Linked DNA regions of Tamandua tetradactyla. The protein of the gene in region 4 interacts with the protein of the main gene of each other region in a pairwise test. Links are inferred from orthologs where the notes say so. Each region holds a gene or a part of one and is shown on either strand. Other genes may lie near its edges.

Region 1 (7,279 bases), on a different chromosome or scaffold from region 4:
TTCAAGTAACTCCTACTGGTAATTCAGCTTTTGGTTTAAATGTCACCTTCTTTAAGAAGACTTCGTGCACCCCATGACTGAGGTAGGTATCCCTCCCGTGCCTTCCTAGTTCCTCACACTTACACCATTTTATGCTTTCACTAATTCTACAATTTACACATTGTATCACTCTTCCATTTGGGGTGTTTAGTACATACCAAACACTACACAGAACCCTTTAAATGGAATATCCCATTCAATTTTACAGTAACCTCAATGACCCCATTTTAAAGAAGGGGTAACTGAGCCTCAGGCCTTTTTACAAGAAAACTTCTCAAGGAAGTGTCAGAGGGGGGATCTGATGCCAAATCTATCTAGCCTCAGAGACCAAGCTTTTCAGCATTGAAATGTACCCATCTGGTTTCCCGAGACTATGCCTGAGTGCCCCAGGACTTGAAGCAGTGGAAAATTACAGGAGTTCTAGCTCTTAACAATTGTCTGGAATCTTCCAGGGCTGTGTACTGTGAGTGTGTTTGGGGGGATGGGGGTGGGGAATGCTGACTGAGCCCTTGGGGCTTTTGAAAACAACCATTTCCCTCTTAGAACACCTTTGATTAGGAGCAGAACAGGCAAACAAGGGTATGTTAGGGGAAAAAAAGCCATTTATTCTTTTATTCCAGGCACTTTACTCTTCATGCTCCTGTTCAATAATACCCCCCAAGCATAAGCCTGGGCAGCATGGCACAATAGCAGCAATCACACAGCAAGAGTTGCTACCAAGCACTGGCACACACTATGTATTAGCAACATGCCAAGCTCCCTATAGGCTTCATCTCATTTCATCCTCACAGCCCTATGAAGTATCATGTTGCCCTTTTTACACCGAAGAAACTGAAGCTCCAAGCCCTTAGATGGTTTGTCCAAGGGCATACAACCAGTAAGTGGTAGAGTTAGGATTACAGCCAAATTCTGTCTAACCTGGAAGCTCAGGCTTCTAAATTCTGTTACTGCTTCTAGGATGCAAAAAAAAAATTACCCCAAAGTTTATTAAAATGCAGATTCTTGTACCTTTTCTGGGCATGCAGCAGGTCTGAGGTGGGACCCAAAAGTGTGTTTTTTAAACAAGTTTCCAGGTGATTCTGATGCAGGAAAACCATACTCTGAGAGACAATATACTATGGCAGTGTTTTCTCAAACTGTGTTTCTCAGAAAATCTAGCGTCACAAAACAGTTAACCAGTCTTATAAGGGGGGAGGGGGAGAATCCATGGTTAAATAAGTTTGAGAAATATTGCATATTCTGTCCCTCTCTAGCAGATTTACAATGCACATTAGCAAATCATGAATTCTAGCATGTTCTATAGTGAACAAATGCATTCAGCTGTATTTAACGAGTGTTTCCCAAACATTTTTAACCACAGAATCCTCCCCCTATTACTAATACCTATTAACATCTCAAAAGATTCAGGATAGAGTTTGAAAAACTGTGCTGGATTATATTTCCTCCTAACCCCAGCTGATGCTGGCCTTTCTTCCTCCTGCTATGTGTGAATGAAATGAGTTCTAAACCCTAGCCTTACCCTCACTTGCTATGGGTGCCTTTGGACAGGCCCCTTACTCTTCATGCTCCTTTTGAGTAATACCTCCCAACCATAACCTCTTTGGGCTTGTTTCTCAGCTGTAAATCAGGGTATTCAAGCCTGTGAGCATGCTATAGGGGCTTCAGGATTGTGATGATGGTGGATGGAATGCTGTGAAAACTGGTTGCGCTCCCTTGAAGGGTTCTTGCCACATCTTTTGGCACATCACTATAGTTAGCTGAGTGCTTTCATCCGTTGTTTTCTGATTTTTCCTGCACATGCTTTATCTCCTAAATTACTGTGTGATTCTGGGCAATTCAGGACCCCTTTCTGGGCTTCAATTTCCTTCTCTGTAAAATGAGAGAAGTAAATCATACTTGAGGACCCTCCCAGTACTAATATTCTAGGAATCTAGTAAAAATCTCAATACCAAAGGATAACACTTGTTGCACCTAATGCTTTACAAGCATCATCTCATTACTCTTAGTAACAGCTCTATGAGGTAGGCCCTATCATTTGGTCCTATTTTAAAGAGAAAAGTTTAGCCCAGAAAGGCAAAATAACTTGCTTAAGGGCTCAAAATTATTTAAGTGATGGAGCTAAGATTCAAACCTAGGTCTGACTCCAAACTGCACTTCACAACCATGCCCTACTGTTCCCCAACATATAACTCTTGGCCAGGGAATCACCTCCTGTGGTGTTCTTGGCTGGATGAGGATGGGCTAGCAAGTGGGGGCGAGTCATTTGCTGGCAGCCCGGGGTTCTGATCTCGACTCTGCTGCTTAACTACCTGGATACTAGATATAAATTCTGCGTTCTCTGGGCTTCATGTTTCCTATGCTTGAAATGGAAGGGCTGGACTAAGTAGTTCACGTCAGCTCACTTGTGGGGGCCGTAAAATCACAGCCTCTCCTTAGTATTATGATGCAGTTATGCCTGAAGTCGTTCTGAAATGCTGTATGTTTATCCGACGCCCCAAATGACTCCGATGGAAACAGTGTCCTGTCAGTGCCGATGACCCCGCTCGGAGTCCGGGCGGAAGCCTAGGAGGGTGTAGGGCGCAGGCCGGGTCCAGCCGGAATTCGTGGGGTCCAAGGTCCCCAAATCCTAGCGTAGGAGACGTCAGAGAGGGCGCGACACGACCTCTCAGACGCACGGTACTGCGTGACGTGAGACAGACGCGACCGACCGTCAATTTTTCCTCTCTCCCGTTGGGAAACTCAGCGTGGAGAATGCGGAGAGAGAAAGAAGAGCGGGGTCCCCGGGCCTGGCCTTGGCACGGCCCCTACCTGGATTCGCGGGCCCTTCACACACTCACCTGCCCGTACGGATAGCTGGCCATGGCGACTCTGAGGTCACACGTCGGCGAGGGGCGGGGCTTCCCATCCTAGAACCCGCCCATCGCGTGGGCCTGGGGGTGGGGTCCCTTCTGATTGGATATCTCCGACTGTCAATCTTGGGTACTGTCGGCGGGTATGACGTAACAGGGTGACGGTCGGGTTCCTCCAGGAGAGACCTGGGGATCCAGGAGCTGGGTGGAGGTTTGCAGAAATGCTGCTTACCGCATTGGCGCGTCTGACCCTTTCTTTCCTGACTTGGCGCAGGCCCCAGGGCTGCCCAGGCTTGGATGCTTAGTGAGACGCCTGGGCGTTGTTGCTGCAGTGGCCATGTTAGAACCTGGCAAATGGGACGCGGAATAGTGGCGTAGTTGCTGTTGTTCCTCCAAGTTTCCACCCGAGGAGGGCCCAGGCGGTTGCCATAACAACGGGAAATCGCCTGACCCCCCCCCCCCCCCCCGGAGAAGACGGAGGCGGGCGGCGCCTCCTCTCTAATGACAAGACACCCGGGTGCCAATTAGTAGCTCTGGGTTGGGATACAGACCTGTGATCTTCAGAGAAGAAAATACCAAACTGTCAGACTGGGAGGAAAATGAGATCCTCTAGTGCCTCATTTCATAAATGGGGAAACAGGTCCAAAGTGGCAGTGACTAGCCTTAGTTCACAATGAATTCGTGGCAATGTGGCCTGTAACCGAATCAGGGAATGTCCATTTCTCAGCAGGGAAGCCTCGACTTGCCCCCATAGTAGGTCAAATCGTAGTTACTGAGTTACTTGCCTCTTAGTGGAAATTTAGATTCTATACTTGTTTATTAGGTTAATTTATTAAGTAATTCCATGGGGACAAGGATGGTGATTGTTTTTGCTTGCCCTTATATCTCCAATACCTAGCACAGTGCCTCATGCTGTATTGTTTTAAATGAATAAATTAGTGTTATGCGGTGTTATGCAGTCCAGCCGCTCTATCTAACCAGCTAGCCAGGCATCTTCTGATATTAAAGTGCAGGTCATGCTCCTTGTCTGGCAGCCTGCAATAGCTTCTCTCAATCCATACCTACAAAATAAGGCCCGGTCTCTTCATCTTGGCATTCCAGGCCCTTCATCTGGCCCAATTTGCCTTTATAATCTGTCTCACCGTCCCTGTCTGCCCTTCACTCTGTACTTCCTATGCTCTCTCTTCCCATTCAGCACTTTTGCTGCAGAGTGAAGATCTTGGTTTCACAACTTCCTAACTGGATGATCTTTTTAACTTCTCTTAGTCTGTTTCCTCAGTTCTCAGAAACAAATAAATATGGAAAAATGAGCTTATTGCATCTGCTCATGCCCTACCTTTACTCAAATTACTCCTTTTGCCTGACCCAGCAGCTGTCTCATTGCCAGTGCTTTAAGGCCCAGTTCCAATCACATCCTCCTCATAATCCTCCCCCACTTCCCCCAGCTCCAGAGTTAATCCCTCTCTTACCTGCACTTGATCCAGTTACTGTGCCAAATACCAAAATCAAAGAGTTCTCTTTGATTTTTCCCCACAATCCATTCCTTCTTCATCTCAGAAAAATTCATCCACTTGCTCAGACTGAAATGCTAGGCTCATTCACAAGTCTTCTATCTCCCCATTCCCCTCACCTCCATTTGTCCTACGGCCAAATTATACTCCCATGTGCCCTTTTCTCCTTGTTTGCACTGTCATCCTAGTCCAGGCGTCATCACCTGTGGCCTGGATCACTATAATAGCTTTCTGACCAATATCTCTGCTTTTACTCTTGCCACCTCACCCCCGACTCTGTTGTTCATAAGGCCGCCAGAATGATCTTCTAAAATGTAAATCAGATTCTGTCATTCCTGAGCTTCAACTTCTCCAGGACCATCCCATCGAAATCTGAACTTATCCTCATGACCATCATGGTCCTACCTGACCCAGACCTGTCCATATGTCCAGCCTCACCTCCTGCCAGCGCTGTCCTCCAGTTCACTCCAGCTACGCTGGCCTGATCTTACCAAACTCATTCCTGGCTCTGGATCTTTGGATTAACTCTTTTCTGGGCTCATCACTGCTTGGGTTCTCCTTGTCATTCAGTTCCCAGTTCAAATGTCACCTCTTTAAGGGGGTACTCCTTAATACCCCACTCCCACCCCCACATTCCAATCATCTATCATATCACTATGTCTTATTTCTTCATAATATTATCTCTGCTCAGTGCCCTCTTTAAAATTTACATATGTAATGGAATTTCCCCCATGAAAAATGTAAGCTCCATAAGAGTAGAATCATTCTTTTCTTATTCACTGGTTTATCCCAAAACCTAGAATAGTGTCTGACATGGATTCGTAAATATTAGTGGTTATTATTATCAGGTATTGAGTGCTTACCAGGTGTCAGACATTGTGCTAAGTACTATGTTTTGTTTAATTTTCACAATAGTCCTTTGCAGTAGATACTATTTTCCATTTACAACGAGGAGAGAGGCTGAGAGACACTAAGTGACTTCCCTAATATCAAACAGATAATAAATGGAAAAGCCAGGTTTGAACCCAAGTCCACACTCTTTTAACTACTCAGTGTTTGGTAGTTGGTAGCCCCCTGGACCAAGACCAATTCCCAAAAATATTTATGGAATTGAATTGCAAAATCTCAAAAAGAAAAAGTTCTGAAGTCTGGGCTGGAGGTCAAGAGTGAGAGATAATAGTGGCACCTGGACTGCAAACTGGGGCCATGTGATTCAGTCATTTATTCCACAGACATTAACTCACCACTTGCCAGCCTCTGTTAAAGGAGAGGAGGATACAACTTTATGAGATTTCCATGTACCCAAACCCTGCTTCCCAGCAAAGGGCTTTTAGGAGCATTTTCTGTTAGAGCTCTGTGCTATCTGGGGGCAGAGACATCCGAGTCATCTCTCAGGCAGTCAGAGACCAGCCAAGGTTAAGATATTTAGGGCTGTGCCTCAGCGGATCCACAGCAGGCCCAGGTGTGTTTATTTTGGAGGTTGCTGGATGAGAGGGAAAGAAGGATCTCCAAAGATTGAAAAATAATGCATTTCCAAAACCTCAACTACCTGAGGCAGACAAAGGTGGGTGGGGAAGTTATTATCTCAGCTTTAGCCAAAGGACAAAACTTGAATTCCAGCTTTTTTTTTTAGAGTGCAGAGCACTTTCCTGAGCTCATGGAAGCCCTGTTGTTGACCCATTAGAGGTGAAGCCGAGTTCGGTAATGGAAGGTCCATCCATTGGAAAATATTGCCTCCCCTAGAGACACATCACCCCCATGGCCTCTTGGCTTAGCGCCAAGCTCCAGTATTACTTACTGGAATACCAACACCTACCTAATTATTATGGAATTTCTTCTCTCTGATTCCAAACAGATCCGGTTCCGAAATCTAAATTCCACTTGGATATTGTGGATCAGAGGGTGAGATGCAGCTTTCCACAGAACACACAGAAAAATGAGAATAGCAGATTTGGCAAATTGGCTGCTCTTCCCTTCTATTATGGGATCATATGGAGAGTACGTTTATCCATTCCACTCCCATAAAATATTAAGGACAATTACAGAAAAGATATAGTTGTGTAAGAGGTTAACAGACCACATGTAAAGGAAGAGTTTAAGTAGATTCTAGTGAATTCTGGTGACAGAAAAATATTATGACAAAAAGAAAGATTTAAATTCCAGAAGGCATCTACATTAGGATTTTTATCTACAGAACAAATAGGCAGCAGTCTATCTTCCATTTTGCAGAGCCGAAGATTTCTCAAATTAAGGATCCTCCAATCCATTCTTCACACTGTAGCCAGTAAACTCATCACTAGGTCAACCTGACTCCTTACACCCTTGCATAAAACCCATCAGTGGCCTCCTGCTGTGCCTCCCCTGCACATGCTCCGCATTCCAGCTGCATTGTCTGTTGCCAGCCACTCAGCACACTGGGCTCAGTCATCTCTGGACCTTGGCACATGCTGTTCCCTCTGCCTGGATCAATCTCTCTGTCTTTTGTCTAGACAATGTTAGCACCCCCAGCTGTGCTCGCTCCCCTGGCATGGCACGGCCCCATCATCCCACTTTATTATAATTACTTGTTTAACTGTCTGCTTTCCCCATAGATGCTGTGGGGGCGGCGACCATTTCTGTCTGGTTGGTCTCTTAATCCCCAGAGCCTAGTAGAGTTCCTGGCACAAAGTATAAAGAGGAAACAGACTCATCGAGTTAGACTTTGGCAATCTGAATGATCTGTGTTCTCTTAAACACTTGAAATAGACTAAGAAATGAAGACCGAAGAATAACAGCGCAGGAACGATAAGAAGGCTACCGAAAAAAGTGGAAGGCATGCACTCCTCCTGCCTTTCTCTTCAGCATATCCAGCTCCTGAACTTATGAGCAAGAGCCACTGAT
Region 2 (7,761 bases), on a different chromosome or scaffold from region 4:
AAGACGACCCAGCTGCTCCGAGTGGGGTTAGACCTGCCCTGTAGGGCCCCCCAGGGCTGAGCCGGTTGCCAGGAGGCAGATTCCGACTATTGGGGTGGGGGTGGGGAGTAGTTTTCTTGTAAGCCCTGCCGGGAGCGAGCGCCCGCAGCCCCTGTTTGCGTGCAAGCAAGGACAGTGCCCGCTAACTGCCACGGGCCTTAGTAGCCAGTGGCTGCTCCAGGTCCAAATCCCCCACCTAACCCTGGGCTGGCTCCAAGCAGGGCCACTAGCAGACTGAATGGACCCTGTGTGGGCTATTTTTTTTTCTTTGCATAAGCAGGCACGGGGAATGTGTGGGCTATTTTAATCTTGGAAGAGCAGCCCTGACTCTGGGAGGCAGGAAGGGCTGGCCTCAAGTGAGTTCAGAAATCCCTACCTCAGTTGGACCTTTTTTTTTTTTAACATAGCAAACATGAACATTCTTACCATATGATCATTCCATTCTTGGTATATTATCCATCAATAACTCATATCATCATCACATAGTTGTATATTCATCACCATGATCATTTCTTAGAACTTTTGCATCAATTCAGAAAAAGAAAACAAAAAACTCATACATACTATACCCCTTACCCCTCCCTCTCGTTGATTGCTAGTATTTCCATCTACCCAATATATTTTAGCCTTTCTTTCTCCTATTTTTTTTCTATACCCCTTACCACTCCCTTTCATTAGCATTTCAGTCTACTAAATTTATTTTAACATTTGTTCCCCCTATTATTTATTTATTTTTAATCCATATATTTTATTCATCTGTCCATATTATAGATAAAAGGAGCATCAGACACAAGGTTTTCACAATCGCTCAGTCACACTGTGAAAGCTTTATCATTATACAGTCATCTTCAAGAAACATGGCTACTGAAACACAGCTCTACGTTTTCAGGCACTTCCCTCAGCCTCTCCATTACACCTTAACTAAAAAGGTGATATCTATATAATGTGTAAGAATAACCTCCAGGATAACCTCTTGACTCTGCTTGGACTCTCTCAGCCATTGACTCTTTGTTTTGTCTCATTTTGCTCTTCCCCTTTTTGGTCGAGAAGGTTTTCTCAGTCCCTTGATGGTGAGTCTCATCTCATTCTAGGATTTCTGTCCCACGTTGCCAGGAAGGTCCACACCCCTGGGAGTCATGTCCCACACAGGGAGGGGAAGGGCGGTGAGTTTACGTGTCATGTTGGCTGAGAGAGAAAGAAAGGAGTTGGGCCCTTTTAAAAGTCGTGCTTTTAACAGGCAGTAATGCATGTGGCAGAAAGGCAGAGGGTATGGATGTAAACAGTAAGCCACTTTCCTGTGCGTTCCTGTGCCATTTTCCCTGCCAAAGGCAACCACTGTTACTCAGGTTTTCGTAACATAGGTGCTCTCGTGTACGTATGTGTGCATATACAAATGTGTGTTTGTATGTTTTCCTTTTTTAAAAGTTAGCTTGATAGACACATAGTCCTGTACCTTAATTAATAACCGTGATGATCATTTCATATCTCCTCTTTAAAAATAGCTATATAATATCCGTTGTAGGTGTCTACTGTAATTTATTTAACAATGGTATTTATATAGAGTTCTTTGCTATTATTAAGATTAATGGTGCAGTAAATTCCATGGCCTTAGGTCGTTTCACCCCGATGTGTAAGCGTGTTTGGGAAATAAATTTGCAAATTAGAATTCCTGGGTCCAAGGGTATGTGTGCACTTTAAATTTTGATAAGCCTTTCCAAAGTGCTTTCCAGTGAGGCTGTTCTTATTTATATTTCACCAAGTGTTTGAGGTCCTGCTTTTCCACAGACTTGCCAGTATGGTGAATTATCTAATTAAAGTTTGTTTTCCAATCTGATAGATTTTTTTAATTAAAATTTTTTAATGTAAATTTTAATTAAATTTTTTATCGAAATTTTTTTAATGTAACAACATAAGAAAACGAACATTCTTACCATATTATCATTCCATTCTTAAATCTGATAGGTTTTTAATTGACAGTTCTCTTGGTATGCTAGTGAAGGTGCACACCTGTGTTTCCTTTTCTGTAATTGCCTGGTCACATCATTTGAACAGTTTCTTTACTGGTTGTTGGTCTTTTTCTTACTGATTTCATCTGTTTTTTTATTATGCAATTTTACTGAGCTATATTCACATACTATAGAATTGTCCAAAGTGTACAATCAGTGGTTCACAGAATCATCCTATAGTTTGTACATTCATCACCACAATCAATTTTGAACATTTTCATTTCTCCAAAAAAATACATATAAGAATGAAAATAAAAAATGAAAAAGAACACTCAAAACATACCATACTCCTTATTTCCCTCTATTATTTATTTATTTACTTATTTTTGTCCTATTTTTTATTCATCTCATCCATACACTGGATAAGATACTGTCAGCCACGGAGTTTTCACAGTCACAGTGTAAAAGCTATGTAGTTTTTACAATCATCTTCTCAAAAATCAAGGATATTGGATTACAGTTCAACAGTTTCAGGTGTTTCCTTCTAGCTATTCTAATATTTAAAAACTAAAAAGGGAGGGATATCTATATAATGCATGAGAATAACCTACAGAATGACCTCTCAACTCTATTTGAAATCCCTCAGCCGCTGACACTTTTTGGTTCATTTCCCTATTTTGGTCAAGAAGTCACCCTTAGATCCCACGATGCCAGGTCCAGGCTCACCCCTGGGAGTCATGTCCCACGTAGGAGGGAGGGCAGTGAGTTCACTTGCCAAGTTGGCTTAGAGAGAGGCCACAAAAGGGGTTCTTTGGGGGTGACTCTTAGGCATAATTATAAGTAGGCTTAGCTTCTCCTTTGCAGGAATAAGTTTCATAAGGGCAAACCCCAAGATCAAGGGCTCAGCCCATTAAATTGGTAGTTCCCAGTGCTTGTGAGAACATCAGGAATTTCTCAGGTCAGAAAGTTTAATATTTCCAGTTTTTCCCCAGTCCCTCAAGGGGGCTTTGTGAATATTTTTTATTCTCTGCCCAAATTACTCTTGAATGTATTGGGGCATCACACTAACCAGTACAAACCCACAGGACCTCACTTCCTATTCAAGGTTCCCTGTAATCATAGTGTTCAAATAAACTGACCGTACAAGTTAAATTAGATAGTGTGTTACAAAAAATATAAATTTTGCACCAAATAAACATCTCTTCCCTGGTCTCACACAGAAGTTGACGTTTTATAACACAGTCAGTGTCATCCTTTACCTTTCAATCTGGTTCACCTTACTCCTAACCAGACCAGCGTCATTCATTCCTCTAGTTGAAGTCAGATCTCTTTCTCAGCTTTTTTAACACTTGCTGTATGGAATAATGCTGATTTTCAGAGCTGCAGCGCTCTAGCTCTGAGTCTCAGATGTCAAACATTTATCGAAATTACGGGAAACGATGAAGTTATACACAAAGAGCTCAGCATCTTAGAGTTTAGAAATAAGTGTTACACTCAGGAGTAGATGTGATTGCTGTAAGAGCTTACTTACAATCTAGGAATCTTTACAATTCTCAGTGTTTGCACCTTATAGCTAGTCCATATTCACCTAATGTTCACCCTTGTCCTCAAGGTCCATTCACCTAGTTGCTTGTCAGTTGAGGTACCCTTGGGCCACCTCCATCCATTGAGAATTGCCGCCGTAAACACCAGTGTGCAAATGTCCAGTGGTGTCCCTGCCTTCAGCTCTTCCAAGCATATACCTAATAATAGGATTGCAGCATCATGTGGCAGCTCTATACCTAACCTCCTGTGGGGCCACTGCACTGCCATCCAGGTGGGCTGCACCGTTTTACTTCCCTAACAGCGGTGAATAGGTATAACCCTCTCTCTACATTTTCTCCAGCACTTGTATCTTTGATTTCATCTTTAAAGAGCTTTTTATTTTAAAACAAGGCCTGTAAAACATTTTTTCTACCTTTGTCATTTCTCCAACTTTATATTGTGTTTTAGAGCTTTGATTTTATATTCTTGGGCTTTGGAGCCATTTCTTACACTTAAATCTAATCTGGCTAAAATTGATTTTGGCGTAAGGAATTAGGGTAGTAACCCAACTGTGCTGTTCTTGTCTTTTAACTCTGACCTGGCTATGGAGGGGCCGTTTGGCGTCATTCTTCTAAGAGGAGACCAGGAGTAGGGAATGGGCTTTGATTCCCAAAGGCCGTCCCTGGTGATGGGTCTCCCAAGGGCAAGGTGTCAGGACATGGGAGCAGCTCCCCCTGCTCTCCTTTGGAGCAGTTCTTCTTTCTGCCTTCAGAAGGTTCCTAGTCCATCATTCAAACCCGCCACGCCACCTCCTCACCAGTGAGGTCTGAGGACTTGGGCAGGACCTCAGAGGACTCTGTGCTGCCTACTGCCCGGCCACTGGGGGAGGGCCAGCGGTCCCTCAGCCACCACATGCTTCTTAGGGAAATTCCTCTTAAATGTGACAGTTCACCCCTGACGACGGCTCGGGGGTCAGTCCTGGGCCCTTTTCGTACCCATTACTTGGAAGAGTCACAATGCCATGTGGACCAGATCGGTAGCTATCGGAACATAGCTGAGCTAAAGCGTGTGATGTCAGCTGGCACTTGAGAGGCTCCCTGCAGGCCGCGGTGATGGACCTAAGGGAGAACTTCAGCAGGCCTCCACGTAAGACCTAGCGTTGTCCAGAAAACCCAGCAGCCCAAAAAACAGGGAGGAGGAGAGCTGTTGCGATGGGGAGGGAGGGAGGGCTTCAGGAAGAAAAAGAGCTGTCAGAGGAGAGGGTCCTGGTTGTGGTTTGTTTCTGTCGCGTCTAAGAAGCCAAGCGCTGTGCGTGTGGCTGGTGGGGGCAGAGCCCGAGTGTGCTTTCCTCTTCTCTTTCAGATCTCCCCATGAGCTACCCCGGCTATCCCCCGCCCGCAGGCGGCTACCCCCCAGCTGCACCAGGTAAGAGGGACTGGGGTGGACTGGGGAATAATAGTGTTTTGGGGCAGTTTCCTCCCTCCCCATCTTCCTCCACAGCACACCCACATAGGGAGGGGAAGGAACCACCAATTGGGGGGCTGGGGCTAGAAAAAGGGCATGGACCCCAAGGCCTGAAGAGGCCTGGGTTTGAATCTGCTTCCAAAGGCAGGGACCGACCCACTCTCTTGCCTTATTAGCTGATGGCACTGAGCAAACGCTGCCCCTTCTTCCATTTTCATCTTTGCAAGATGGCTTCCTGGGTCCCTCCCTGTGCTGCGTGGATGCTTGTTACTGAGGTCACCAAGCAAAGCGTCCTGAAGCTCTGTTAGGTGACAGGTGCATGGTTTTGCAGCCCAGTCCCCCTACAGCGGGAGGAAACGAGGCCTTCCTCGCTGCAGCTGCCCAGAAGCTGTGGCCACAGGTAGCACCGAGGTGAACCCACCTGGTCAGGGATCCAGGCATGGCCCTAACTTCACCACTTTCCACCACACTGAGGAGCCGTCTTCTCTGGCCCTGTTGCCTCCTGTTTTCCTAAAGTGAGATTTGGTCCCCACAATCAGAAAGGAAATGTCGGGGCTCCTGGGACAAGAGGGAGCCCCTCACTCCGGGCTGCACCTGGCGAGGTCCTCGGGCCCAAGCACGATGGGCCCCGTGGGTCACTTGGATCGCCCTCCCACTGACAGGTGAAGGGACAGGCCCAGAGCAGGGAGGCGGCTCAGCCCCAGGCTCACAGCCCAGCAGGGGTCTAGCTGAGCCATTTCTCTGACCCGAGCTCCTGCCTCCGATTTGCTCCCACGGCCTCAGCCCCCACCCTGGTAGGAGTCCAGCCCTCTGTGTCCCACCGCTGCCGCCATTTGTCAGCACAGCTGCTTAGCCTCTGAGCAGCCAGAGAGGGAGTGGGCTGGTGACACAGGGAAGGATCCACTGCCCTGAACTTCCCAGAGCCCAAGAGCTGAGAAGCCAAAACCAGGTCCTTGGGGGGCCTTGTCCCTGCATCTAACCAGTGCACGTTCCCCAGGCTCTCAGCCCTCCTCACAGCTCTTCCAGGGAGGCTAATTAGGCTAATTATCCCATTTGTCAGCGGAGGAGCCTGAGCCCATGGTGGTGCAGTGCCGGCCCCAAGCCGAGTCCCCTGTCCCTGTCTGTTCAGAGCTAGAGCTTTTCCTGGTATCTCCCCATATTGTGTGTTTTCCGTGGTCCAGTGGTGTCTCTCCATCCTCTCATCCTGCCTCTCCCAAATGTGTCCTAGCAAACAGCCGAACTGGCAGGAACCCACCCCACCCCCTGTGCTTCTGTGTCCCCTCTGGATTCTCGAGCAGTCACCTCCTGTGCCCGCCCTGCCCGCTGTGGGAGGGTGACTGCGCAGGGGGTGGGGGTGGGGGTGGGGGTGGGGGGTTGTTCTCAGGAGTGTCCGTTGAGCTCCACTTCCCTCCCTGGAAGGAGGAGCAGGTTTCTCCTTCTTGCTTTGGCAGCAGGATCAAGTCAGGCTTTTCTGTGGGGTGTGGGACGCAGCCCTGTCCCCTCTGCTGGGCCTTGTCTCCTGACCTCCTGGGAGCTCAGTGTCTTTGCTTTTTCCCTTTTGGGGCCACTCGGGACAGGGCTCACGGGCCTGGTGTTGCTTTCAGGTGGTGGTGCCTGGGGGGGTGCTGGCTACCCCCCACCCAACATGCCCCCCATTGGGCTGGATAACGTGGCCAGCTACGCAGGGCAGTTCAACCCGGAGTACCTCTCAGGAATGGTGAGTCCAGCCTCCCACCAAGGCTGCCCCTGTGGCTGGCTTCCCATGGCCTCAAGGTGTCTGTATGGGTCCACCTGGGTATGCCGGGCTCCATCCTGGGACATAGAACTGTCCTCAGGGCCCCCTGCCTACTCGCTGTTCCTGTGTGGGTCTCACTTGTGTCCTTTTGGTAAACTGAAGGGAAGGGAAGGTACAGGGCCCTGTGGTCTCTCAGGTCCCTTTCTTCTTGGGGGTTTGTATAATGCGCGGTGCCTTCATGGAACATTTATTGAGCACCTTCTGTATGAGCTCAGCCTAAGGGCTGGGGCAGGGCGGGAAGCAGGTTATGTACACACATACGCATTTGTATGTGCGAGTGAGTTTGGACAAAGGATGGCTATTCTGATGGAGCCTAAGGAAGAGGCGGTGGCAAGTAGCATAGACAGACATGCTGCTTTAATTTGTTGTTTTGCTTTTAAAATGATGTATTTTATAATCTGAAAACGCGTGTGTGCTCAATGTAAGCAGTGTAGCCAACATGCAGCCTAATTGGTACCAGGCCCAGCTCTAGGCCCTGGGGATATGGGAATAAATCAAGGAGACATCTCAACCCTCCTGCATATGCCATCTACCTGGGAGAGACAGACAAGGAACATTTGAACTGTGCCTTGTTTGAAAACGGGTTGGTGCTGTATAAAGGAAGAGCGTGCAGGAGGCGGCGGGTCTGAAGTGAGGGGGTTGGTGATGTGGGCAGTGCTGTTAAGTTGAGTGGTCAGGCTGGCCTTGCTGAAAAGGGGACGTTGATTGGGGCACAGCCTGGAAGTAGGTGGGGGTGGTGAGGCATACATATGGGGGGGGGGGGCTCTGGGTAGAGAGGCACCAGCACCCTCAGGTGGGAGCGGGCTGATGTGCCCAGGAAGCAGCCAGGAGCCAGAGAAAAGATGAGCCGTAAGACCAGCAGTCCAGCTCTCATCAGGTGGAGAAGGCTGGGCTGGGGGTTTTGACTTTTTCTCTGGGTGTGATAAGGACAGCGTAAAAAGTCCAAGTACTAGCCCAGCCTCCCCTCCCCTCCTGGGGGTGTCTGCAGTTAAC
Region 3 (7,679 bases), on a different chromosome or scaffold from region 4:
TCTGTTTCTGTGAAACAATTATAATTTTAAGTATTTTTCTTTTAAACATAACTTTTTATTAGTACAGAAAAACCTAAAGGAAGACTAGCTAACAAATATTCTGTTAAAGGGTAGTTTTATAAAGAAAAATGAAATATAATTATGTTGTTTTTATAATAGTAAAAAATAGTGTTTGTATGAAAGTCAAGATCTAAGTAGCTTTTCATATAATTCAAACTAGTTGCTAGTGATATATTTTCTCTTGGTATTCTTATTTTTCCAACCTCAACGTATTAGCAGCTGTTAACATTTTTAAAATACTGCCATAATTATAACCTTAAAGTAGTTGACCTAATAAGTGAGAGCAGGGAAGAGAATATTTACAGAATATTTACTCTGAAATGATTTGCATTTTACCTTTGGTATCTGCTACAGTGAAAAGAAATTTGAAAAGTAGAAATATCAATACTTGAGAAGGGAATTGTTTATCATGAAGGGAAAGGGAAAAAGTAACAATAAATTAATGTTTTAAAACAGTGTAAGGAACTGGAATTTAGAAAGGTTAACCCTTTCTCTGCGACTTTGTGAGGAAATATTTGGAAAGCATAACTCATTTTAAAATGTTAAAAAAAAGTATTGAGAGATAACTAAAATGGCTAAGTTTTGAGAAGATGTGAAGACATACAAATTTATCTAAATATAAATTTTGTAAATCATTAAGTTGAACATGGCAAACATTTGAAAAGTGTAAAATCCAGTGTTGAGAAAACATTCAGCATGGTGGAAATCTGTAGTACTTATTGGCAAGAGAGGATTGTGCTAAAAGAAACAGGATAAAATATTAAAATTAAAAATTTAAGCATTACCTCAGGGAAAAGCCTTGACAGTGAAAGGAAACTGCTTAATCACTAACAGCTAGTCTGGACCAGACACTTAACTGCACTTTGGGAATAATACTGCACTAATCAGGAAATAAACTTGACTTTTCTATTTCTCTCTGAAGCTTTTCAGGACATCCTCTCTCCACCACCACCACCACCACTTTTTTTTTTTTAAAGCTACAGCATCTTTGATTCATACTATAATTCCTGAAATACATTAAATGGATTTCTTTAGGTTCCTTGTGTTTTTTGTATGAAGAGTAATGTGCTCTTTCTATAACCATGCCATTCACTTAAATAATTCATAGAGGGAAAGCTTTAATTTAAAGGAAGACCCAATAGGAAGAAGATTAAAGGAAGCTTTTAGTCAGCTTGTGGCTAGATTTATTGATTTGATCAAACCTGTGTTCTTTCTTGAATTTCATCTAATGGCCAACTGTGGTCAAAAAGTTGCTTTCAGTTAAAGTTTTGACATAAATAATATAAAGAATGTCTTAGAAATTGGAAATCCTTTAAAAAGTAGAACAAATGTGGTAAGTAGGGCTCACATTATTGAACAAATACCATTTATTTTTATAAGAAAAACACAGACAAATTATTTATTCATGAGACAAAGCCATTAAGATAAATCAAGTTATCAGCTTCCTGTTTCTCTTCAGTTTGGATCATTTTATCGATCCACATAATAGAGAGCTTCCTTCCTATGTAACAAAAACCTTAAGACCTAACTCTTATAAATACACTCATTTGCATTTAAAAAATGGAGTTTTGTCACTTTTAGTTATAAATCAGAGTCCAATAAACAGCTTATATATTGATTTTGGTGGAGCAGATGTCTCAGGAAAGTATACTTTTAAGTATACTTTAAAATTATTCCTGGAGGGCGGGCGATGGTGGCTCGAGCCTCGCCTGCCCTGCTGGAGATCCGGGTTCGATTTCCGGTGCCTGCCCATGAAAAAAAAAAAGATTCCTGGAGACAAGGAAAAAATTCTAATGTAAAATAGTCTGTAGCATTAGGTAACTTAATGCCAAAATGAGTTAAAGATTTTGAGTCAAGTAAATAATTGTTTCTACTTTGGGGGGAAAAAAACTTAACAATTTTTGTTTTAACAATCAATTGTACACTCATTTTTTAATTTCTAAAAAAAGAACCAAAAGCACAAAGGGTTTTTCTTTTGTTCAATGGCCTAGTAGAAAAACTGAGCAGTGCTGCAAGAGTCTATCTATACTACTTTAATTCATTAAGATACTAGACACAAAATGGACATAAATTTTAAAAATAGATTGGCTTTTAATTAGAAATGTAGACTGATGGATATAACCCAATGGAAAGGGATTTAGGGCATATGAATTCTTTTCTAAATAAAGCCAAAGTCTATCTTTGATTTACTTTAGACTTTTGAGTAGATTATTCAGTCCTAAATCTTTCTTTGCCTTCATTTCCTTATATAGAAAATGTAGGTAATAATACTTGTCACTTGGCTTTCTATAGGTTAATTCTAAAGTTAAGAAGTGGCCCTTGGGGCATACTTGAAAATAAGTACAGCTTTTAAGTAGTAATGTAATGATTTTCAAAGTATCCCTTTAATAGACCCTGCAGAATCACAGTCACATCTTTTAGTTTGTAATAACCTTTCCTGGCTTGCTTTGACAATAGAGGTAACTCCAGATTTGAATTCACTGTTTGGACTCTGCAATTAGATGAACAATTGTAATTTCCTCCTACACTTTAGAAGGCCTATGTAAAATTGATGTTTGCCTAACTTATTTTAAAATTGATTACATTTGCAGGAAATAAAGATAATCATTTTTGCCATACATGTAGTCAAATTTAAGCTTTCAGACTTGAGAGACATGGTGTAAAACTCAGAGGTTTACTCAAAGAATACTGTCTTTACCAGAATTGGATAAACTCTATAAGCCAAGTATGAATTTGATATCTACTTGAATGTACAAAGCTTAAGTAGTAACTTCACAAAACTATTAGTACTCTTGTCAATCAGGCTTGTATGATTTATTCTCCACCCCTTCCTCCCCAAAAGTAAACTATTTTCATTTTTATTTCTAATCCTGGAGTTGAATGTTTCTTCTTGGCTGTGACTTTAAATAAATTGATCTGAATAAATTCTCATTTCTTCTTAATTAAAACAATATATGAAATCCAAAGGCTTTGTATTTTGTTTTTAAAACATTGTATGGCCTCTCATGTTCAACTTAGAATATGTAAAAAAAAATTTAAAACTCTGTAGTCTCACAAATTTTCTAATTTACAATACACTCCTTTTAGTTTTTCATGTGTCAGTTTGGGTCTTCCAAGAAGAGATGCCAAGATGCGATTAAATGCACAACAGACTTATTGAGGGAAACACCCATGAAGGATAAAGGGGGAGGAAATAGGAGAAGGTGGGGAAGTCTAAAGACAACATTGCAAATCTGACACCTGTAAAAGGAAAACTGGAAGGAAAGATTGGGTAGAGTGGGCTTCAGACTGCAGTGCAATTCTGAATATTCAGAACCATATGGGGAGTTAGTTTCCAAACAAACTTTGCCCGTAGAAAATCCAACATAGAACAAGAATCGCCTGGCTCTAGAACCCCAACCCTGCTCAGTTATTGAATGGAAACAGCAGGAAAAATCTGGAGGCTGTCAGTCATTCTAATAGAGGCCACAACTAGGGTGAGGTTTTAAAAAAATATTCTGTGGAACAAAATATCAACATTTTAGATAAATGCAGAATCTGGATTACTGATATTTCCTTCTGCTTCAGGCTTCAGTAGGGCTCTGCAAAGCACTGCTGGTCAACTGCCTTTTATAAGTCAGGGTTGGTTTATCCACACTAGTGGTGTGATTGTCAATAGACCAGAGCCCTGTACTCCTATCCAAAGTTATGTCTTTCCAAGACTTAGGTATCTGATGTTCTATTGCTCATTTCTGTATGAGAAGTATATGCTGCGAGCACACCCAAAGCTAAGTCTTCATCTAGGTAGTTCATAGTCAATGACCGGCCACTGACCCACAAACGCCTTACACAAGCAAAATAATGTAGTGTACAGCATACTTTTAACAACTAGCTTCAACTATTTTTTGCACACCGTGTAATTATCACATCTTTATTACTAGCCTGTGGCTCACTGACGGCTGGGACTATGTCATTTATCTTTTGGGCCTCACACGGAGTAGGTGCTTAACGGTTATTCAAAAATGAACATGTGCGGAGAAGAGGCATTGCTCAGGAAAAATGCGAAGAGAGAGCTGTTCCTTTAGTTAATGGCAATTTATCAAGCCATTTGTAAATGTGTAAATGTTTTTCCTTTCCTGCATTGTTCATTCAACTCCAATTTTGGCTTATGGGTGTCTAATGTCTGAGTCCTTTGCTAGGCGCAAACTGGCCACATACACACACACACACACACACACACACACACACAGCAAACTGGCCACATACATACACACACACACACACACACACACAGCCTCCTTCGAGGCCCGGTTGTAAAAACTGCTGCGCTTAGGGGTGCAGAATAGGGCCTGGCCTCAAGCCGCCACTCAAGGCAACAAGTTGTCAATTTCCCCTGAACTTCACCGGCCACAGGCGTTTCTTCCTAGTCCTAGGAACTTTGGAAAACATGGGAGTTTTCCACCCGCCGACTAAGAAGAGCCGCACCGCCCAGCCGGGACCGGATGCAGTGCTGCCCGGGGCCTGCAGGGAGCGCGCCGGACCAGCCGCGAGGGGAGGGGCGGGAGCGCGCGGGGGAGGCACGCTAGGCGCTTCCTGTTCCGGCGCCAGGAGGAGCCGCGCGCTGCCGTCGCTGCTGCCGCCGTCGCTGCCTCTGCCGCCGCTGCCTCTGCCGCTGCTGCTGCCGCTTCTGCCGCCGCCGCCCGTCAGGTTGCGTTTGGTTCGTCAGCCTTCAGTTCCTTCGTACCCATCGCCGCTTCTAGACCTTGCTACGGATTGGATCTTGCCGGGTGAGGCTGCTGTGGCGCTGGTGGGAGTCGCGGAGCGGGCCCGGAAAGATTACGTTGAAGGGCTGGAGGGCGGGCTCAGTAACGGCGGTGCCTCGAGTCTCCTCCGGTGCTTGGGCCGTGCTCACCTCCCTGGGAGGTGAGCGTTTCTCTCGGTCACCTCCTTGCGGGCCCCAGATTGGCCGCCACCACCCCCCATCGCCCACCCAAGGAGAAGGCGTCCGAGGCATCCAAGGCGGTGACGTCACGCCCGGCGGGTTTCTCGGCGCTTGACGTCAGGCCGGGTGGGGGCGGGGCCTACTCCCCTCCCCCACCCGCCGGGGCGGGCGCGACCCGCTCGGAGGCCGGTTCGCTCCGGTTGGTCCCGCATTCCCTTTGTTTCTTCGGCCCCGGAGGACTGTAGGCCTCGCGCCCCTTGGCGCAGACCCCCCGCCCCTGCTGATTAATTTCTGATAAAAAGGGAGGAAGCCCTGAATTAGATACTTAGAGGAGTCTGATGCTTTTTTGAGGTGATTGTCAGGGTGACAGCGTTTTGATTATTCTCTAGACGAGTTGGGGACAATGCGTTCAATTTTGGATACCCGTGACAGGAAATACGAGACGTGCCGAGTTCTGTAATGCTTTCTTTTCTTTTTTTTGGATCTTGGGGTATATATTAGGTATTGCGGTTCATAAATAGCTTAATCTTTTTTCTCTATACTTTAGAAACCAACAATAGTGCTTTTAATAAAGATTCTGACGTTGACCCGTCCGTCCAGGCCCACTTGACTGGAAATTATTTTTTATAGCATTACTATTAGAGAAATACACATTTGTGCACCTAGTAGTTGTACAGGCCTGTTTTGAAAACAGAGCCTTATTGCAGGTGGACTGTTACCTCAGAAATAGTTCAGAAGTGTTTTGGAGGAAGGGAAAATACAGATTTTCGTTGATACTGGTGTCTCGGATCCCCCTATTCAAAACTAATTTGCCCCCAGAAACTTTTGAATTGAGATGCATAGATGGGACTGTTTCTGACATCTCTCCTGGAGAAACGGATGATAGCTGTCCCTAGTTTTCTATCTGAAACCCTTGGGGCCAGTGTGTTTTGGAATTTAGAAATCTTTGGATTTTTCCTTTAGATTTTAGAAATACAGTCTGGTGCTTAAACAGCTGATAATACCCCCCGTCCCCCGCGTGAGTCGCAGCACCCAAACATCCAACTTTTATTTGTGGAGGTGTGAATATCCACTCATTTAAGTGGGAATTAATAGGAACTACAAATAGCCTCAGTTCAGGTTTTGCCTCCAAGTAAGTTTTGTGCGAAAATTGGCACAGTTTCTTTTGTTTTCAAAGGTTTGGAGATTGAAAGATAAGAACCCTGTAATAGTAATTATAAAAGCTAGTATTTGTTGAATTTTTGCTATGTGCCAGACGAGTCAGAGATTTACTTATTGTATAAGTCTTCCAGCTCCTCTGTGAGGTAGATACTGTTCGTATTTTCTTTTTAACCTGTGGGGTTTGGACAGTTTCATTTGTCCAAGGTTCAGAGCCAGCCAGTGAAGAGCTGCACTTTGAGCCTAGGCGGGTATTCTTTCAGTATTCATTTTTTTAACCAAATGCTCATCTGCCCATTTACAAATGAAGGTAAGAGAATTTGGTATTCGTGGCCCACCCATTTTTTCCAGGTACATAGTAGATATTTGACATGTCACGCTTAATCTCTCACAACATTATTAATATATTCTTCAGAGTTGAAGAAGCAGATTCATTCAGATGAGTTGACTCTTAAGTGACCAAAGAGGAGTCACATCCTGATCTAAGGTCTCCTGTCTGCTAAGAGTTTCAGATCCCTTCTCTCCTTTGCTATATTCCGACCAATCTGAGCTGTTTGTACTTCCCCACAGCTGCCTTCTTGCCTCTCTCCCATCTTTTGAAAGAAATTGCCCTCTTTTCCTTAGAATTTGCCCCTAGATCTATCCTCATTTTTCTTCTAGACTGTGAAGGCACCGCTCCTCAGGAGTCCTTCCTGACATCCCCTTTCTTGATTCCTTTAGGGTCCTCTTGGAGGTAGTCCCATAGCACCCTGTGCTTAGGTAATGTAGCTGCGTTTTATGGTAGCATTAAGCCTTTGCTTCATGTAATACTAATTTTAGAGCCCAACACCATGACTAGCCCATATAGCTCCATACATATCTGAATATATGTATTACGTATATCTAACATAAGATTACTGAAAGATTGAATTTTTGAAATTACACGTTTTAAAGTAAATTTGAATGTGCAGAACATCTCAAAACCCCAATTTCTTGAGTTTCCAAAAGTCAGAAACAGAACATAGCTAATAAATGAACTAGTTTGAAAAGTATCATATATTCTACCTCAAAATTTGTAATTTTCAAAACAATACATTGCCATCACCCTCCCCCAATACTAAACAAATCAACATGAAAATCCTATCCAGCTTCCTTTAGTTTCTCTTAATATCTTATATGAGTATAGCACTTTATAAATCAAGTGTTACTGTAATTATCTGTGAGGTAGTTGGGGATAATTGTAACAGATGAGGAGATGGTTTCTGGTTTAGAAGTTCATAGAAATGTTATGCTTTACTTTTCTAGTGTATGTCAAAAGAAATGTGTTCTTGTAAAATTACTATTGCTGCTCATTTTCTTGGATGATGTATAGATCCTTTCGTAAGTAGTGATGGAAAATTTTCCAAGCATTGCGTTTAGGTTTTTCCAAAGGAAAGAGAAGTGAAAACCTTTTATTATTATAACTTTTTGATGGCATTCAATGTTACATTGTCCTCATTTTAATAAGTAGTATAATTCATATATTTTGGTTGAAATCTAGGTATTTTTACATTTTGAAACT
Region 4 (6,885 bases):
CCCCTTCAATATAAATTCTAGCCATACAGACTTTCAGAGCAAAAGAGTGAGTAGTAGTGATTTTGTCTTTCAAAATCATAGTATAGCTTTAACACTTCTTCACATGCTTCACATGAAACATGGAAAGTATCTTTTGAACTGCAGAGCTTCATTTTTCCCCTTTTGCTTCAGTCAGTGTCAAAGATATTTCTTTTAACACTGCTCCTCCTTTCTTCACATAGTATCAACTTTCACATAGCATTAAGTGGTACTTTCAGATTCAAGGCTATTCTTAATGTTGATTTAAAACTAAATTCACCTCCACATGAGACAGGACAGGTAACATGAGGGTTAATTTAGTCTAGCTCAGTACCTTTCCAGGCTCCACACAAAAGAGGGCAAGATGTCTTCTGAAGAGCAATGGTTTAAAAATGTGATTACTTACACAATACCTGTCCCTAGAACAATCTTCTCAATGGCATGTTTGATGATCATCTACAATAAATGTGGTCATAACTGCTTAATAAGTGATAATCTTATAACTTAGTCCTTTTGGCTTTACTAATAGAAGGCAGCACTAACTAAAATCAGTGTTTATATATACAATGGGAGAAATTATGTTCTTTGTAAGGGTAACTGATTCAATTCAAGTTATCACTCTATCATAATCATCTGTATTTACGGGGAGTCTAAATACAGAGACTTATATAATCATCTGTGGGCATGTTACAGAAATAGTAATAACTATTTCATTGATTCAACAGATACTCACTAAATGCTCACTATTCATACAGTAAAATGACAGGTGCTGGGAGGGACAGAGAAAATACAATCACTGTTACAGATACTGTAACATAGAAAGATAAGGATACAGGACAATCCCATGAGAGAACACAAGGAACTAAACGTCTAATTGTCAAGTGTTTGGTACACAAAGTCAGGGTTATACTGTGGTCTTTATGATCTTGATTAAGACCCCAAAAAGAAACCATTTATGCCTCCCAAAATAAAAAGGCTTAACAATACCAGTGGTTGGCATTATCTTATACAGTTAAATATTGCAAAATCTACCATTCAGCAATCCATTGATTGGTATATAACTGATCAAAAACTCTTACATAAGAGACATATACAAGAAATTCATAGCAACATACAGTAAAAAACTGGAAATAACCCAAATATCCTTTGATGGGAGAAAAGATTTTAAAGCATTGTAGTATACTCACCTAAAGAAATATTATTCAGTAGTGAAAATAAACTCCAACTGTATATAACAACATGTATTATTTTAGTAACGTAATATTGTGTATAAAAATTATGTTACAGGAAACCGCATATAGATGATAATCTACATAATGTCCATAAACAAATAAAATTGAATATCATTGCTTAAGCATAAATACACGTAACTAAACTACAAACAAGATGTAAAAAAAACCAAGCAAATGCTAAACACAAAATTCAGGATTGTTCATTATGTTTCTAAATTAATTTTAGAAAGATAATTGTTATATAAATAGGGTCAGAAGCAGGAAAGATCACTGAAGTTTTCATGGATGGTTTGGTACTTGAGCTGAAATATGAAAAATGCATTGGATATTGTTTGTTTTTAAGGCGTTCTAACCTAATTGGGACAATATATCAAAATCAAATAATAATTATGTATACTTCTGTATTAGTTAGGGTTCTTTAGAGAAACAGAATCAATAGGGAACACTTGCAAATATAAAATTTATAAAAGTGTCTCACATGACCACAGGAACGCAGAGTCCAAAATCCGCAGGGCAGGCTGTGAAGCTGATGATTCAATGGAGGGGCTGGACGAACTCCACAGGAGAGGCTCACCAGCCGAGACAGAAGAGCCTGTCTCTTCTGAATCCTCCTTAGAAGGCTTCCAGTGATCAGATTAAGCATTACTCATTGCAGAAGACACTCCCCTCTGGCTGATTACAAATGTAACCAGCTGTGGATGCAGCTGATGTGATCATGATTTAATTCTATGAAATGTCCTCATCGCAACAGATAGGCCAGCACTTGCCCAACAGACAAACAGGTACAACCACTTGGCTAAGTTGACACATGAACCTAACCATGACAACTTCCCAATACATGATCTCATATGACATATAAATACAACTCAGATATTCCAGACATCATGCCAATCACAATACTGTAAAACTATATCCAGGTGAACAGCATGATGCAGAACCCATAATAAAGCCCTTCATTAAAAACTTTAAAATACACATTTCTGAGTAATCCTTGGGAAATGCTTTAATGTTGCACAGATGTCCTTTTTGTCCTGTGTAACCTGAACCTTCAATTGGCTCCAAAATGCTATTTTACTCTCCTGTAGCTCACTTCTGTCTGGGTAGTTCCTTCTTCTGCTTTGACCTACCAAATAACAACAACCCTATTCCCTCAATTTCCATGGTGGTAAATGGGAGCAGGTTTTTAACATTAAATGAGACTTTACTAATGGTTTGGGCATGAAGCACAAAGGAATTACAACACAGAGGATCTGAAACTGTTTTCAAAGTCCACAAACCCCAGTCCCTCTACAAAGCCACCCTATGGATGCCTCTCTTCCTAGCTTCAGCTGGCCATAGTTTGGTAGAGGACAGCTTATATCTCCTCAGTGCGAGGACTCTTGAGTCAGTATCCTGGTCCTAGGAGTCTAAAGAAATTTTTCCTTCTCATTCCATGCCAAGGTTCATATCTTTATCACCCACCCCATAGTGTGACCTCTTATTAGGAAGATTGACAGTGGTAGAATTCATTCCTTTCAGGTAGTTTACCTCTGCTCATTAGGTGTGGTTTTACCTAATCCCAGACTATCCCCCAAAATATCAAAAACTCCCCCAAAATATCAAAAAATTATAGGACAGCAGAACATTTCTACAAATGCAGACTGTCCAATTTTTAAAAACAAGCAATGAAGAAGTCTCTGGAGAAAATCAGGAACTTTTTGATGCCACCTGCAATTGTGCAACTGTCAGAGAGCAATACTCAAAATCGTGTTGAAATACACGAACACTCAGAGGTAAAAAGCATTCTAAACTTACACGTTTCACTCAAACAGAATTTTCAGACATAACTTCAAAGAGATCAAAATATTTACAGTACTAAAAGAACTAACTTTCACCCTGAGGCACCTGAATTTACTTTACCTCAGGTCCTTCAGGAATATCCACGGGACAGGATTAAGTTGGAAATGCTTTAAGTATTTGCTTAGTTTCACCTTAGAAGGCAACGCAGTTCGTAACTTTTAAAATAGCATGTCCCTTCCTAAAATAGCAGGGCCCTATCCTCACGGTTACCACTTGACCCGAAACACTTAGGATTCAATATGAGACAAGTACCTTGTCTTAAGCAAAACAAATGCTTAAAGTGAAGAAGGGGATGTGGACACGCTCAAATGTCATACTCCAAAAAGACTTCAGGAAACCATAGAGAGTCTTTATCTCCTAGCACTTCATTTATAGTTTTGTCCTGTCTTGTAAACGTTGTTGGTCTACTCTGTTGAATTGTAAACTCCTTGCTCACAAACTGATTCATCTATAAACCAATACATGGCAAAGAGTAGGCGCCCAGTAAGAATGAATGAATGGATGCGTGGAATGAACGCGGGAAAAAGGTTAGTTTTTTCGAGATGTGACTACGAGCACCACAATGGTCAAAAGAACAAAAACAGCCAAATTTGGAAAAATTTCAGCTGGCTGTTTAAAAAAAGTCCAGAACTGCAACTGCCGTACCGCCCAGGGAGAAGAACCGGAAAAGACTTGATTTGAGGAAAACCGGAAGTGCCTGGTCACGCCCCGCGCATGCGTGCCTCCGTTCTGTTCACACTTCCAACCCTCTAAGTCACCCAGTGAGAAGATAGTGACCCTTAGGCAGACGCGACCACGGTTGTATCCAGCCCCACGCCCACGCCTTTGCGCATGCGTCCTAGAACGCTGGCACTGAGGCGGGGCGAGAGGGCAGATTTTTTCTTGTCCCGCCCTCTTATTCCCCCACCTGCCACGTACTGCGCCCAAGCTCGCGCTAGGCTTTTTGGGTCTGTGTGATTGGCCCCGTCCGCGCGAGAGAGCGAGCGAGCGAGGTGCGGCGGCGGCCGAGAGCAGCCGTGCCGGTCGTGACCGAATTCTGACGCCTCGGAGCCTGGCAGCAGGGGCAGGGGCAGCCTCGCTCTGACGCTGCCAGCGAAGACCCGCGGGAAGGCGAAGGCAGCGGCCTCAGCAACCCGGTATGGTCGCCGGAGATGGGGGCGAGGAGGCGTTGGGAAGGCCTCTTTCGAACCTCCTGGTGCCGGGCGGGTGGGGCCAGAGGGGCCTTGGGGGCCTTGGGAAGGGGGTTGTGGTAGGGGGAGGGGCCAGGGTAGAGAGGAGGAGGCCAGGCGAAGCCTAGTGTTGGGGGAGGGGAAGGTGCAGAAAGAAAGGGGTCCGCGGCCGGGTGGCAGGGTGGGCGGACTGTGCGGGGTCGGGGTGGTGTTTGGGGCCGCAAGTGCCCTGACACCGGTTCCGCCGGAATGCAGGGGGCCTGGGTTCTTGAGAGAGAGGACAGGGAGTTTGGGAGGCCTGGGGTGGGTCGCGCGTCTTTCCAGATACGCTTGGAAGGGTGAAAATAATGGAAAAGAGTGTCTATAGGAATACATGGGTTACGGTCACTTACGAGGAACTTCTTCCCTTGGCTGTGTCAGCTCTTTTAATCACGCGCCGTCTGGAGGCCCAATTTGTAGTCATGAGAGCTAACTTTTAAGAGTTGACTGTTTGCAAGGCATTATTCTAGGAATTTTAGATACATTATATATGTGTGTGTGTGTGTGTGTGTGTGTGTGTATATATATATATATATATATTTTTTTTTTTTTTTTGTATGGGCAGACACCGGGAATCGAACCCAGATCTGCGGTATGGCAGGCGAGAACGCTGACACTGGGCTACTGTGGCCCTTCCAGTGCAAGATGTCATTTAACCATCACAAGGATCTTTCCACAAATAGTATTATTTTCCTTTAGAATATAAGTGAAGCTTAGGGAAGGACTTGCCTGAGGTCACTCAGCTATAACTGGGAATCTTACCATCTTGCTACATTGCTTTTGGTTGAGCAAGATTTGGTGCCTCTTTCATTCTTTGGAATAATCAGAGTTTGAGTGTGCTTAGGATATCTAGAGGAAAAGTGCTATTCTCCAGAGGTGCCAGGCAGCTGCCTCTAAATTTGAGCAGGGCCCTACCCTCAGTGTTAATGCAGCAGGTTTGGCCACTGTACATATGTGCTGGTTCTGGAAGTGGGTTTTTTATCATGTCACTTCATTTTCCAGTGCCAAGATACGTGTTCCTGCTCAAGGATTTTATAAGTCAGTGGTCATCTCAATTCTGGACTTCAGAGAGGGTAGGGAAGGGACAGGATTGGAGAAGAGAATGCTGTAAGGATCTCATCAGCAGCCTTGGGAGCTAGTTATTTTTACCAACCTTTTGTTGTTTATACTAGTACTTAAGTTAGAGGAAAAAAAGAACCAGAATTCTGTTAACATCAAGAAATGTGGGATGTTATTTACCATCGAAGGGAAAATTTTGTGGCATACTCAGTTTGTGACACTTTTGTACTTCTGGTTAGGTGATGACTGCGTGACTGGGGGCAGCCTTGGGAAAAAAAGCCCTGGTACCTAGCGGCCATAGGCAATTTACAATCAGTGGGAAACACAAAGTAATAAGTGAATTTGCGGGCAAACATGGCAGATAAAAATGTATGTAGTGACTCAGATTTTTAGATCCATTGGAAATGAACCATTCCCTCACAATCAAAGTGACATATTACCAGTTATATTGCATGTTGGAATTTTCTCTTCATTAGGAATATGTGTGATGTGGAGTCACTTCTGGCTATATAAGGAAGGTACAATGTGAAGGTTCATCTTTTGTGCAGGGAAGAAAAACAAATATTTAAATACCTGCTGGGTATTAGGCACTATTCCAAGTGCTGCTGGGAATAGATAATATCATCTTACTGAAGCTAAGCACTGCTCCCTGTCTACGTTAATACTGGTTTACATGTCCTTTGGTTAGGAGAAGTTAGCATATATATTGTTTGAAAGATATTTATTATGCTCAGGCAGTCAGTAAGTACAAACAATACCCTTTTTTTTTAGTTGAAGTAATTTTATTTCATGGTACGTAGTAGATATTCAGTAAATATTTCCTGAATGAAGAGGGCAGGTTTGGCTAGCAGGTGAATGGAGGCTTTAGTCGATCACAGTCTTTATAAAAAGTCCTGCTGGAGAAGTGGCAGATAAAAAGCTAATTGTATTCTTATTTTGCATTAAGACAAGCATAGCATCCAGATCGTGAAACACAATCCACTCTGTTTTACATGAATCTTAAGAGTGTTGTATTCAAGTGAATCCTCCATTTTAAGATGGTTATTAATAAAATGTGACCTGCCCAGAGGAAGGAGAACTGGAGATTGAGGAATCTAAAGACAAGACATTCATTTAAGGAGTAGTTAGTTGGAAGGACATGGCATTTATATGAAAAATATTAATGGAGGATTCATGAAAACTTTCTTGAGTCTTTCAAGAGTTGAGGTGGGGAAGTGGATGCTTTCTCAGAAAAAGAATAATTGCAGAGAAGTTCGAAAACCAAGTATGAGGTTAATGAAGTAACAAATTTGAGAGCATAGAAAGCTGCTAGTAGTAAACCATGAGGTTGAAACCGGAATGTGCAAGTAGAAGGTTTTCAGGCACCTTAAACAGCCTAAGCGAGATCATTTGGTTTGGGCAGGAGAAGGCAAAAGTTGATGCTAAGAAATGCTCAGTACTTATAGATGTGTTCAAGAAATTTTGCTCTTGAAAAGAAAAGATATTAACCCATTATTTGCTCTTAAACTTATTCACTATTGTACACTAAA

What was found.
Region 1: the proteins of protein TFG (region 4) and PEF1 interact in binary tests that used the Homo sapiens proteins (3 or more experiments, as listed by UniProt). The two-hybrid records come from large-scale screens. The link is inferred for Tamandua tetradactyla from reciprocal best matches to the Homo sapiens genes TFG and PEF1.
Region 2: the proteins of protein TFG (region 4) and ANXA11 interact in binary tests that used the Homo sapiens proteins (3 or more experiments, as listed by UniProt). The two-hybrid records come from large-scale screens. The link is inferred for Tamandua tetradactyla from reciprocal best matches to the Homo sapiens genes TFG and ANXA11.
Region 3: the proteins of protein TFG (region 4) and MAPK1IP1L interact in binary tests that used the Homo sapiens proteins (3 or more experiments, as listed by UniProt). The two-hybrid records come from large-scale screens. The link is inferred for Tamandua tetradactyla from reciprocal best matches to the Homo sapiens genes TFG and MAPK1IP1L.

The regions. Positions count from the first base shown.
Region 1 is NC_135328.1:194,157,893-194,165,171, reverse strand, and holds the start of PEF1 (peflin), read right to left. Parts: upstream 3,006-7,279; 5' UTR 2,901-3,005; coding exon 2,877-2,900; intron 1-2,876. UniProt on the Homo sapiens protein: Calcium-binding protein that acts as an adapter that bridges unrelated proteins or stabilizes weak protein-protein complexes in response to calcium.
Region 2 is NC_135339.1:16,846,118-16,853,878, reverse strand, and holds the start of ANXA11 (annexin A11), read left to right. Parts: upstream 1-4,755; 5' UTR 4,756-4,879; coding exon 4,880-4,934; intron 4,935-6,577; coding exon 6,578-6,690; intron 6,691-7,761. UniProt on the Homo sapiens protein: Binds specifically to calcyclin in a calcium-dependent manner. Required for midbody formation and completion of the terminal phase of cytokinesis.
Region 3 is NC_135338.1:11,053,391-11,061,069, reverse strand, and holds the start of MAPK1IP1L (MAPK-interacting and spindle-stabilizing protein-like), read left to right. Parts: upstream 1-4,658; 5' UTR 4,659-4,826; intron 4,827-5,144; exon of another isoform or gene 5,145-7,679.
Region 4 is NC_135336.1:46,984,282-46,991,166, reverse strand, and holds the start of protein TFG, read left to right. Parts: upstream 1-3,874; 5' UTR 3,875-4,225; intron 4,226-6,885. UniProt on the Homo sapiens protein: Plays a role in the normal dynamic function of the endoplasmic reticulum (ER) and its associated microtubules. Required for secretory cargo traffic from the endoplasmic reticulum to the Golgi apparatus.